Linked DNA regions of Sus scrofa. The protein of the gene in region 2 interacts with the protein of the main gene of each other region in a biochemical or structural test. Links are inferred from orthologs where the notes say so. Each region holds a gene or a part of one and is shown on either strand. Other genes may lie near its edges. The genes, in order: ARF5 and ARFIP2.

Evidence for each region.
Region 1: the proteins of ARFIP2 (region 2) and ARF5 form a complex in vitro, tested with the Homo sapiens proteins (2 studies listed by BioGRID). The link is inferred for Sus scrofa from reciprocal best matches to the Homo sapiens genes ARFIP2 and ARF5.

Annotation. Positions count from the first base shown.
Region 1 is NC_010460.4:20,695,550-20,699,982, forward strand, and holds ARF5 (ADP-ribosylation factor 5), read right to left. Parts: upstream 3,087-4,433; 5' UTR 3,031-3,086; coding exon 2,964-3,030; intron 2,436-2,963; coding exon 2,355-2,435; intron 2,052-2,354; coding exon 1,942-2,051; intron 1,221-1,941; coding exon 1,149-1,220; intron 645-1,148; coding exon 519-644; intron 417-518; coding exon 330-416; 3' UTR 157-329; downstream 1-156.
Region 2 is NC_010451.4:3,248,463-3,252,842, reverse strand, and holds the start of ARFIP2 (arfaptin-2), read right to left. Parts: upstream 2,833-4,380; 5' UTR 2,678-2,832; intron 1,890-2,677; 5' UTR 1,848-1,889; coding exon 1,749-1,847; intron 1,494-1,748; coding exon 1,397-1,493; intron 678-1,396; coding exon 559-677; intron 376-558; coding exon 154-375; intron 1-153. Other genes in the region: TIMM10B (mitochondrial import inner membrane translocase subunit Tim10 B), read left to right, coding at 2,975-3,013, 3,215-3,310, 3,507-3,683. UniProt on the Homo sapiens protein: Plays a role in constitutive metalloproteinase (MMP) secretion from the trans Golgi network. May have important functions during vesicle biogenesis at certain cargo subdomains, which could be predominantly utilized by secreted MMPs, such as MMP7 and MMP2.

The DNA.
Region 1 (4,433 bases), on a different chromosome or scaffold from region 2:
TCCCACCTGGCCCCAAGGGTACACTCGAAATGGAAAAAACAAAAGTCAACCCAGATCCCTGCTCCTCCTCTGGAAGAAGGGGCCTTGGCCCCCGAAGCCCCTTTCCGTGGGTCCCAGAAGGCAAGAGAGCAGACCCCTCCGTGCCCAGAGAGCGGGGGCTCCAGGCTCCAACAACAGAGAGAACATGCAGGCAGGAGCAGGCGCAGAGGCCTGTGTCTGCGGGGGAGGAGGAGCTGGGAGGGAAGGGCACTGCCTGAGGAGTCCGGGAGTCTGGTCGTCCCGGGGTGCACGCGGGAGCTTCCGGGCAGCAGGGGCTGGCCTGTGGTTGGCTAGCGCTTCGACAGCTCATGGGACAGCCAGTCCAGCCCATCGTACAAGCCTGTGCCTTGTGTGGCACAGGTGGCCTGGACGTACCACTGTGGGGAGAAGGAAAGAAACAGGTCAGAAGCAGGGAAGAAAGGCGATGCCTTTCCTTCCTGCCCAGCCTGGGGCTCCCCCGAGCAGACGCAGGTCCTCACCGTGCGGCTGCGCAAGTGCTGCAGCCCCAGCTTGTCGGTCAGCTCGCTCACGGGCATGGCGTTGGGCATGTCCTGCTTGTTGGCAAACACCAGCAGCACCGCATCGCGCAGCTCGTCTTCCTGCAACTGAGAGAAGGCAGAGGCGATGGCATCTGAGGGGGGTCTCTGGGGGCCCCCAGGCTCCCTTTTCCCAGCTGCATATGGGAATCCTGCTTTCTATCTTCTAGTCTATTTGCAGGGAAAACAGAACATTGTGTCATCTATGGCTGAACACAGGACACAAATTATAAATCAGCTTGGCCTTAGATCCAGAAAAGGCCTTTTTTGAGAGTACCCTTCCAGTTAAAAATGTCAAAGTCATCCACAGGGAAAAAAACAAGAACGTAAGATGATGCTTCTCTCCACCACCTACAATTCCCCTCCCTCTACCGGCTTCTCAGACTCAGAAGGGAAGACATGAGAGAATTCCAGGAAAAAGTCAAGTCTCACACTTTTTACCCGGGCCCAATTCAAAGTGGGGAGGCACTACTTCTTGGGAGTGTGTCCACAAAGCGGAACCCACATTCAAGGCCCGTGAGGCATTTCTATCTGTCACACCGGCACAGAAATGTGGGCGCTCTGAGTGCTCACCATCTTCTGGAGTTCATCGGCAGATTCCTGGACCCGCTCTCGGTCATTACTGTCCACCACGAAGATGAGGCCCTGGGTGGGAAGAAGAAAGGAAAGAGGAGCAATCACTCACGCCTGGGACATCCACACCCTAGTCTGGCTCCTCCTCTCTTCTGCCCTCTGACCCTGCTTTTAACTTTTTAGGGCCGCACCTGTGGCATATGGAGGTTCCCAGCCTAGGGGGCAAATCAGAGCTGCAGTTTCTAGCCTACGCCGCAGCCACAGCAACCTGGGATCTGAGCCGCACCTGCGACCTACACCACAGCTCACAGAAACGCCGGCTCCTTAACCCACAGAGTGAGGCCAGGGATGGAACCCGCAACCTCATGGATGCTAGGTGCAACCTCATGGATGCTAGTCGGGTTCGTTAACCACTGAGCTATGAAGGGAACTCCTCCATGTCCATCTTTAATGGTGTCTAAACCCTTCTCATCTAGTAAACTTACACAGTGGCTCTGGAGACGTCCTAGCACAAACTGGAGACACTCTGCTAGGATACGGCCTCTGCCCTCAGCCAAGGGGACCGGCTGAATGATGTGCACCGGGACAAGGAAAGACATGGGATGGGAGCGGAGTGAGGCAGCCTGGATTCAGAATTCTGCTTCTCAAGAGACTGAGGCCATTTCTGAAGAATAAGGAGAGGCTAGTCTACACAAGGGGGTAGAAGGGGGTAAGAGGTTTTTTTTGGCCTAGGCCAACACCTCCATCTTCCTACCCCTAACACCTCTTCCACTGGGGTTGGGGGAGCCCCAACCTGAGTGTTCTGGAAGTAGTGCCGCCACAGAGGCCGAATCTTGTCCTGGCCTCCCACGTCCCAGACTGTGAAACAGATGTTCTTGTATTCCACTGTTTCCACATTGAAGCCTGCAGATAATTGGAAAAAAATATGAGGAAAAAGTCCTGAAAGGGAGGAACTCACCAAAACGATGTGGTTTCAGCAGGGACCCCAAGCCAGAAGGCACCGAGGGGCGGGGCTCGGTCACATCCATCCCGCCTGGGCACCATCCTGCATGAAAAGATACCGTGACCCACTTCTCAGGTAGCAGCATCTGATGTCACGGTCAGCTCTCTGGGGCCGAGATAAGGGCCTCGGCAGAATGCGGAGCAGATCCTGAGGAGGCCCTCCCGCCGCGCTCCCGCTCCTCCCCACCGCGCCTCCGGACTCACCTATGGTGGGGATGGTGGTGACAATCTCCCCCAACTTCAGTTTGTACAGGATTGTGGTCTTGCCAGCTGCATCCAAGCCAACTGCAAAGGAGAAGGGCACCGGGATGGAGATGGGAGCAAGGGAGCCCCCTAGAGCCCAGGGAAGGGGACGGGCCAGGACAGCTGATGGTGACGGGGGCGGAGAGCCGAGCACCTCCAGGTGCGCGCTGTTCTCTACCTTCGCGGCCTTGAGCGCAGTCTGGGGGGTGGGCGCCAAGTCCAGCCCTCAGAGCGCGCGAGGGGCGGTAGAAGACTGAGGGGTAAGAGGTGCCAGAGGAGGGTCGTGCTCCTTTTAAAAGTCGTCTCCAAGGACGGAATCCTCCCTTCTTACCAGCCGGGCTGGGGCGGAGGAGGGAGCTTCACTCCACCCAGGCCCGCAGCTCCCGGTCCCAGGCCCCAGGAGCGCTGCTGCAGATCCCGACCCACCCGAGAGTAGTGGTCCCGGGGAGTTAGGCCGGGGGTGACTCGGGGTCAGAGACCCGGGTGAGCAGGGCTGGAGGGACGCGGGGGCAGGAGAGCTGCGTGGGGGCCGGCGCTCCCCGTCCAGGCCGAGCGCTTTATCTGCCTCACCCATGAGGATCCGCATCTGCTTCTTCCCGAAGATCCGCGAAAAGAGCGCGGACACCGTGAGGCCCATGGCGGGGCCTGGGGGAGGGGGCGCGGGGACGGACGCGGGGTGCGGGCTGGAACTGGCCGGCCGCTGGGGGATGGGCGCAGCAGCAGGAGGAGGAGGTGCCGCCGCCGCCTCCGCGCGTCCCGGCCCGCCCTACGTCACCTCGGGCCCGCCCCCGCCATGGCCCCGCCCCCAACACAGCCCTCAGCCCCGCCCCCGCCCCGCCTCCAGGCCCTGGCCCTGGGAGACCCTGAAGCTGACCGTCTTGCGAGCCTCTGGTTCGGCGCTGGCTTTAGAGATGGAAAAGGTCTGGGCCTTCCCCCTGTTTCTGGCGTGCCTGTAAGATCTGTGGCTGCTGAATCCGCAACCCGGGCAGGATCAAGGAAAGCCTCCAAAGCTCCATAACGGCCCTCCATCCCCATCCTCACTGGCTGACCGCTGGGCTTTGGTTTGGTCCGTCCAATCCACTCTAGGCTCCGATTTAGCTCTTGGTAATGAGTGCCTCGACTTTGTGCACCCTCCCTCTCCCAACCCCCCCCCCCCCACGCCCCGAAGCGGCAGTTCCGCGCAGGTGTCTTAGTCCTTCCTTTTGTCTTCTCAGTTCCCAGTCAGGGACTTTGAACGTGGCAGGTGCTTCAGTGACCTTAGAATCTCTAGAGGAATGCGCCAGAGGTGAAAGAAGATGCCCTTCATGGTTTCTTAAAACGCCTGCAGCAGAACCAGTGGAGGATCTCCAGTTCTAGGCGGTGGGGTAGTAGATACTACTCCTGCATACTGGAGAATTCTGCCTTGCCTCGATGGCCCTGGAAACAATGCCTTTCAATCGAACCAGGCAACCTTTCTGAAGCTCCTTCCTCAGTTTGAAAAGCGGAACCTGGATTTATTATTTTTTTTGGGGGGGGGTCTTTTTAGGGCCGCACCGGCGGCATGGAAGTCGAATCAAAGCTACAGCTGCAGGCCCATGCCACAGCCACAGCAACGCCAGATGGAGCTCTGTCTTCGACCTGTACCACAGCTCACAGCAACGTCGGATCCCGAGCGAGGCCAGGGATCCAACCTGCGTCCTCATGGATGCTAGTCAGATTCGTTTCTGTTGAGCCACGAAGGGAACTCCAACCTGCACCTTTAATGCATAGCTAGCTAGCATTTTGTAAGGCTGAAGAGCTTCATGAGCTATTTTCCCACTCACCTTAGCATCTGAGGGGAAATAGCAAGATAGGAATTAATTTAAATTTCTTTTATGGTGGAGACTGGGTCACCTAATATATGCTTAACAAATGCTGGCTGGATTGAATGGACTAACTGATTGCTCAGTGGAGCATGGACAGGTGTTTTTGCCTGTTCTGGATTCCCTTTGGGCTTCTAGAATCAATCCCTATGGACTGGACATGGTGAGGTGAGCTGGGAATCAGAGAACGTTCCTTCCT
Region 2 (4,380 bases):
CACTGGTGAGTGCTGCTGGGGGCGGGGCTGGGCCCACCCTGGAGGGGTTCTCCCTCTGGGCTGCAGGAGGGAGGGAGGAGGGAGGCTGAGGGGTGACTGCCTGGGAGGGCCCCGGGCCCAGGCCCCCCTCCCCCTCTGGCCTGCCCAAGGCACCTGAAGCTCTGGGGACTTCTGGCTGAGGTCAGCAAAGGCATCCCCCAGTGCATGCTGGGTCTGCAGCAGGCTGTAGAGGTGGGCTGTCAGGGCCCGGCCCAGCTGCAGGACACTCTCATACTTGCGCTTCGTCTCACGCAGCAGCTCAATTTGCAGCTCTAGCTCCAGGTCCACAGTCCGGGAGCCTCGGCCAAACCGCTCTGATAACAGCTGCTTTGTGCACTGAGTGGGAAGTGGGGGAACAGGTCAGAGACCCTGGCGCCCGGCCCTGCCCCGCAGCAAGTGTCTACCCCGGCGTCCCCAGACTCCAAGTCTCAGCCCGAGATGATGGGACAGGAGGATCCGCAAGATGGGGAAGAGGTACCCGGGGGAGCTCAGGGGGCGGAGGAGGTGCGTGAATCCCACCTTATACGTGTTGATGCCCCATTTCTTGACGATGTCGAACTTCTCTCCAGCGATGCCCCGGGCCACCTCATCCCCGGGGCCAGCAGGAGGGGCGCTGTGAGATGGATGGCGGCCAGACCCTAAAGGACCAAGTTCTCTGACACCAGCCTCTCTCAGACACAATCCGACGCCTCTGTGGTTCCACCCACACTTCCCTCCCAGCACATGAAAATGACGCCCCGGAAGGAGCAGGGCTGGAGACTCACTAGGAGGAATTCATGCCTTGGACCCTGAGACCCAATCCCAACATACACCTGGCCTCCTTTTGACGTGGAGGTGAGGACTGGAAAGGGAGGTGGGAGGGGTTGCTCGTGTGCAGGGGCAGAGGAAACAGCGGAGACTAGGCTGAGAATGGGGTCGCTGACCATGGCTGGGCGCCCCTCGAACCGAACACCTGGCTGACATTCCCATGTGGATCCCAGTCACTGCGAGATTCAGGGCTGCTTGTTCCTCTAAATAGCAGAGTCTAACGTAAGACTCTGATAAGCCTCTCAAAGCTCCAAATCAGATTCAAGCTCCAGAGCAGGGGAGGCCTGGTGAACAGAGTTCTCTGCCTGACTCAGGTAGTGACGGCAGAGAAGGGACAAGTGGGCATATCTGAGGGACAAAGTGGCAAGTGGAGGCAGATGGACACCCCTGGGAACGGGCCTTGGGCTGAGATGCCCGCGGGTTCATCCTGGCAGAGGTTCCCACGAGCTCCAGACATGATTCACGCCTTCTTAGACGTATCCTATGCCCCCTGGAGCCAGTCCTCTTCCCCTCTCCACTCAATGCCCTATCCTGCTCTGATCATTCATACCTGTGGGGATGAGTCCATCACCAGAGCCCCCATAGCCACCAGACACAATGCTGGTTTCATTGAGGTTGGGTCCTGACACCATCACCTGCTGGAGGTCCTATAGGCCAGAGAAGAGGGGGGCTTCAGGAACATATGGGCAGCTGAAGCATTTTGGGGGTGAAAACAAGCTTGGATTGAAGCATCATAGAGAGAGCACACAAGGGAAGTCTGCACAGAATCAGAACAAAGATTGGTAAAAAGACTGAAGGAAATCAGGTGAGTTGGGGGAAGGCTACTGGAAGAAGGAGAGAGCTCAGGGTTTAAGAGTTGGGATTCCTCAACTGAAACAATGTGAAGAATCAAACAGAAGCACCTGCTCCAGCCCATCATCCTCAGGAAGCTGCCCCGCGTCACCATTCCCGTGGATGGGGATCTCCATTGTGGCTGCCTTCCCTAGGATCCCGTCCGTCATGGCGAGCGAAGGGACTGGAGTCAAAGTCTCCACCCCAGCGCCCTGCAAAGCCCAACACAGACAGTTCTGGAAACGGGCCAGTTCTCCGAAGAGGAAGGTCTCCCCTGCCCTTGCAGAGGCCGTCCCGGGGCTTCAGTGTGGTGGGGTCTGCCCACCACTCTTCCCTCGGGGCTTTGTCTTTCTCCCTTCCAAGGTGCAAAGTTTTACACACAGGCACCCAGGCCTCAGGTGTGCCTGACCAGAGGTCATGTTCTCATGACCCCCCCACCCCCACCCCCCCAGCAGTCCAGGGATCATTCATGCATTCAGTCCTTCCACAGACATTTAATGAGTGCCTACTACATGCCACGCACTATTTGAGGCAATGGAGAGAAAGCCTGTGCTCTCAAGCAGCTTATCCCCACGCAGGTATTCCTCCTCATCAGGAGACAATCCCTTTCCCAGCGCTCAGGTGCCTATCCCCGTTCAGGTATGTTCGCCATTGTTTGGCCTTTCACACTCCTCTAATGTCTCCTCCTCTTTCCTGCAGGTGGTCTCCCCCTCCTCCATCCCATGCACCCCCTCTTCCTGCCCCCACCCCCGCCCCAGGCCTTAGTTGAATCAGTTGGTGTAAGTTCCCGACCCCGGGGAAAAGTCCCTTTGCCCCAGGACATAGGGAGGTGATCCCTTCCAAAGTCAGTTAGGTCTCCCCAGGTGTGTGAGTCTCCGCCCTCCCCCCATACACCTGGGCGTCAGGTGTGTCCTCATCCTTTCCCAGGGCTCAGAAGCATCTTGCCCTCAGGTCAGGTTCGTGCGTTCACCTTGCCCTCGCCCATGCACGTCCCTCTCACCTCGGGCCGGGCCGCTCTTCCCCTCAGGGCGCCAGGCCCGGGCCGCGCGGGGATCTCGGGATCCAGTTCCCGTCGCGATCCTAGCAGCAGGTCAGGGACTCGGCGGAAGTGACGTCCTCTCCCGGGCAGAAGAAGCCGGCCACGTAGCCGATTATGAGGGCGGAAGTGACGTCGCGGGGAGGTGGGCGGGCGCTCCTTGAGCCAACCCCTCTGCCCCTGGGGAGCCATTGAGGTCACTTCCGGGGCGTTCCCTAGAAGCTGTAACGGAAGTGACGTAGGTTGTGCGCCGGCGGCGTGATGGAACAGCAACAGCAGCAGCAGCAGCAGCTGAGAAACGTGAGTGGGAGCTAAGTCGCTTAAGGGCCCTGCATCCAGCTAGCATCCCTGTTCGCATGGCGGAAACCCCAGAGAGCCAGGCATCCAAGGGCTGGGAACCACGGGCCGTGGTACACGGTCCTGGGAAAGCGCCGGCAGCGCGGCCTTGAGTTGAGACGTGGCCCCCTCTTCGCTGAGTTCCTTGTCCCCCTTCCTCCCCAGTTGCGGGACTTCCTGTTGGTCTACAATCGGATGACGGAACTCTGCTTCCAGCGCTGCGTGCCCAGCCTGCATCACCGAGCTCTGGATGCCGAGGAGGTTAGGTGGGGGAACTGAGTAGGGAAGTGCTCCTCGAGCCTCAGAGCTAACCGTGCACTGCTTCCCTCTCCCGTCAATTCCCCTACGTCCGGCCCTGGCTTCCCACGACCTCCGCCCTGAGGCTGGGGATGGGAAGGAGGGAAACGGACCTGACTGGACACCTTTGGCTTCTACTTCCACCCTGTCTTCCTTCCAGGAGGCCTGTCTGCACAGCTGTGCCGGGAAGCTGATCCATTCCAACCACCGCCTCATGGCCGCTTACGTGCAGCTCATGCCTGCCCTGGTACAGCGCCGCATCGCTGACTACGAGGCTGCCTCAGCTGTGCCAGGTGTTGCTGCTGAACAGCCAGAAGCCTCGCCATCTGGCAGCTAGCTGTCCTCAACGCTGAGAAGGGAGGCACTGGATGGACCCTCACGTTGAAGGAGCAGTGGACCTTGGGCAAGATGGAGCCTGTATGTAGAGAATGAGGAGTTGCCTGAGAGCTAGGTACTGTTGCTCCTTTTCCTGGAGCTAATAAACCTGCTGTAATCTGTGCGGTTGATATTCTGGGCAGGGAGAAGTTGCCTTCTGTGTGTGGAAGGAAAACCTCAGCATTCCCAGGCACCTGGTTAAAGGAAGGTCTGTGGGTACAGCTTTAAAATTGGCAACAAGACGCTGGTTCGTGCCCAGACGGCAGAGAAAATGGGAACTCTGTCCTTAAATCTGTCTGACTTAAATGGTTCGCTTAGAGATATTAAGGACCATGGATTAAGAAACCACAGGGCTTTTAGGCACTACCTCTTCGAAAGTCAGTAGCCCCAGACAGATGAAACCTATAGGACTTCTGGGTGTTCTAGAACGTTAACCACTCCCCCAAGTTGTTACTTTCTTAATACTCCCAGAAATTGAGCAGTAAATCCTTTAAACCGAGGAGGTCTGTGTGCTCGTCTTCAGGAGCAGTCAGGGGAAAACTTGGGGAGCCATGTTCTGCACTATAGTCAGACTCAAGGGAGAGAAAACCACAGAAGTAGAGGGTGGTGGCTAAGGGGACAAAAAAAAAAAAAAAAAAAAAAAAAAAACAGAAGAAAGG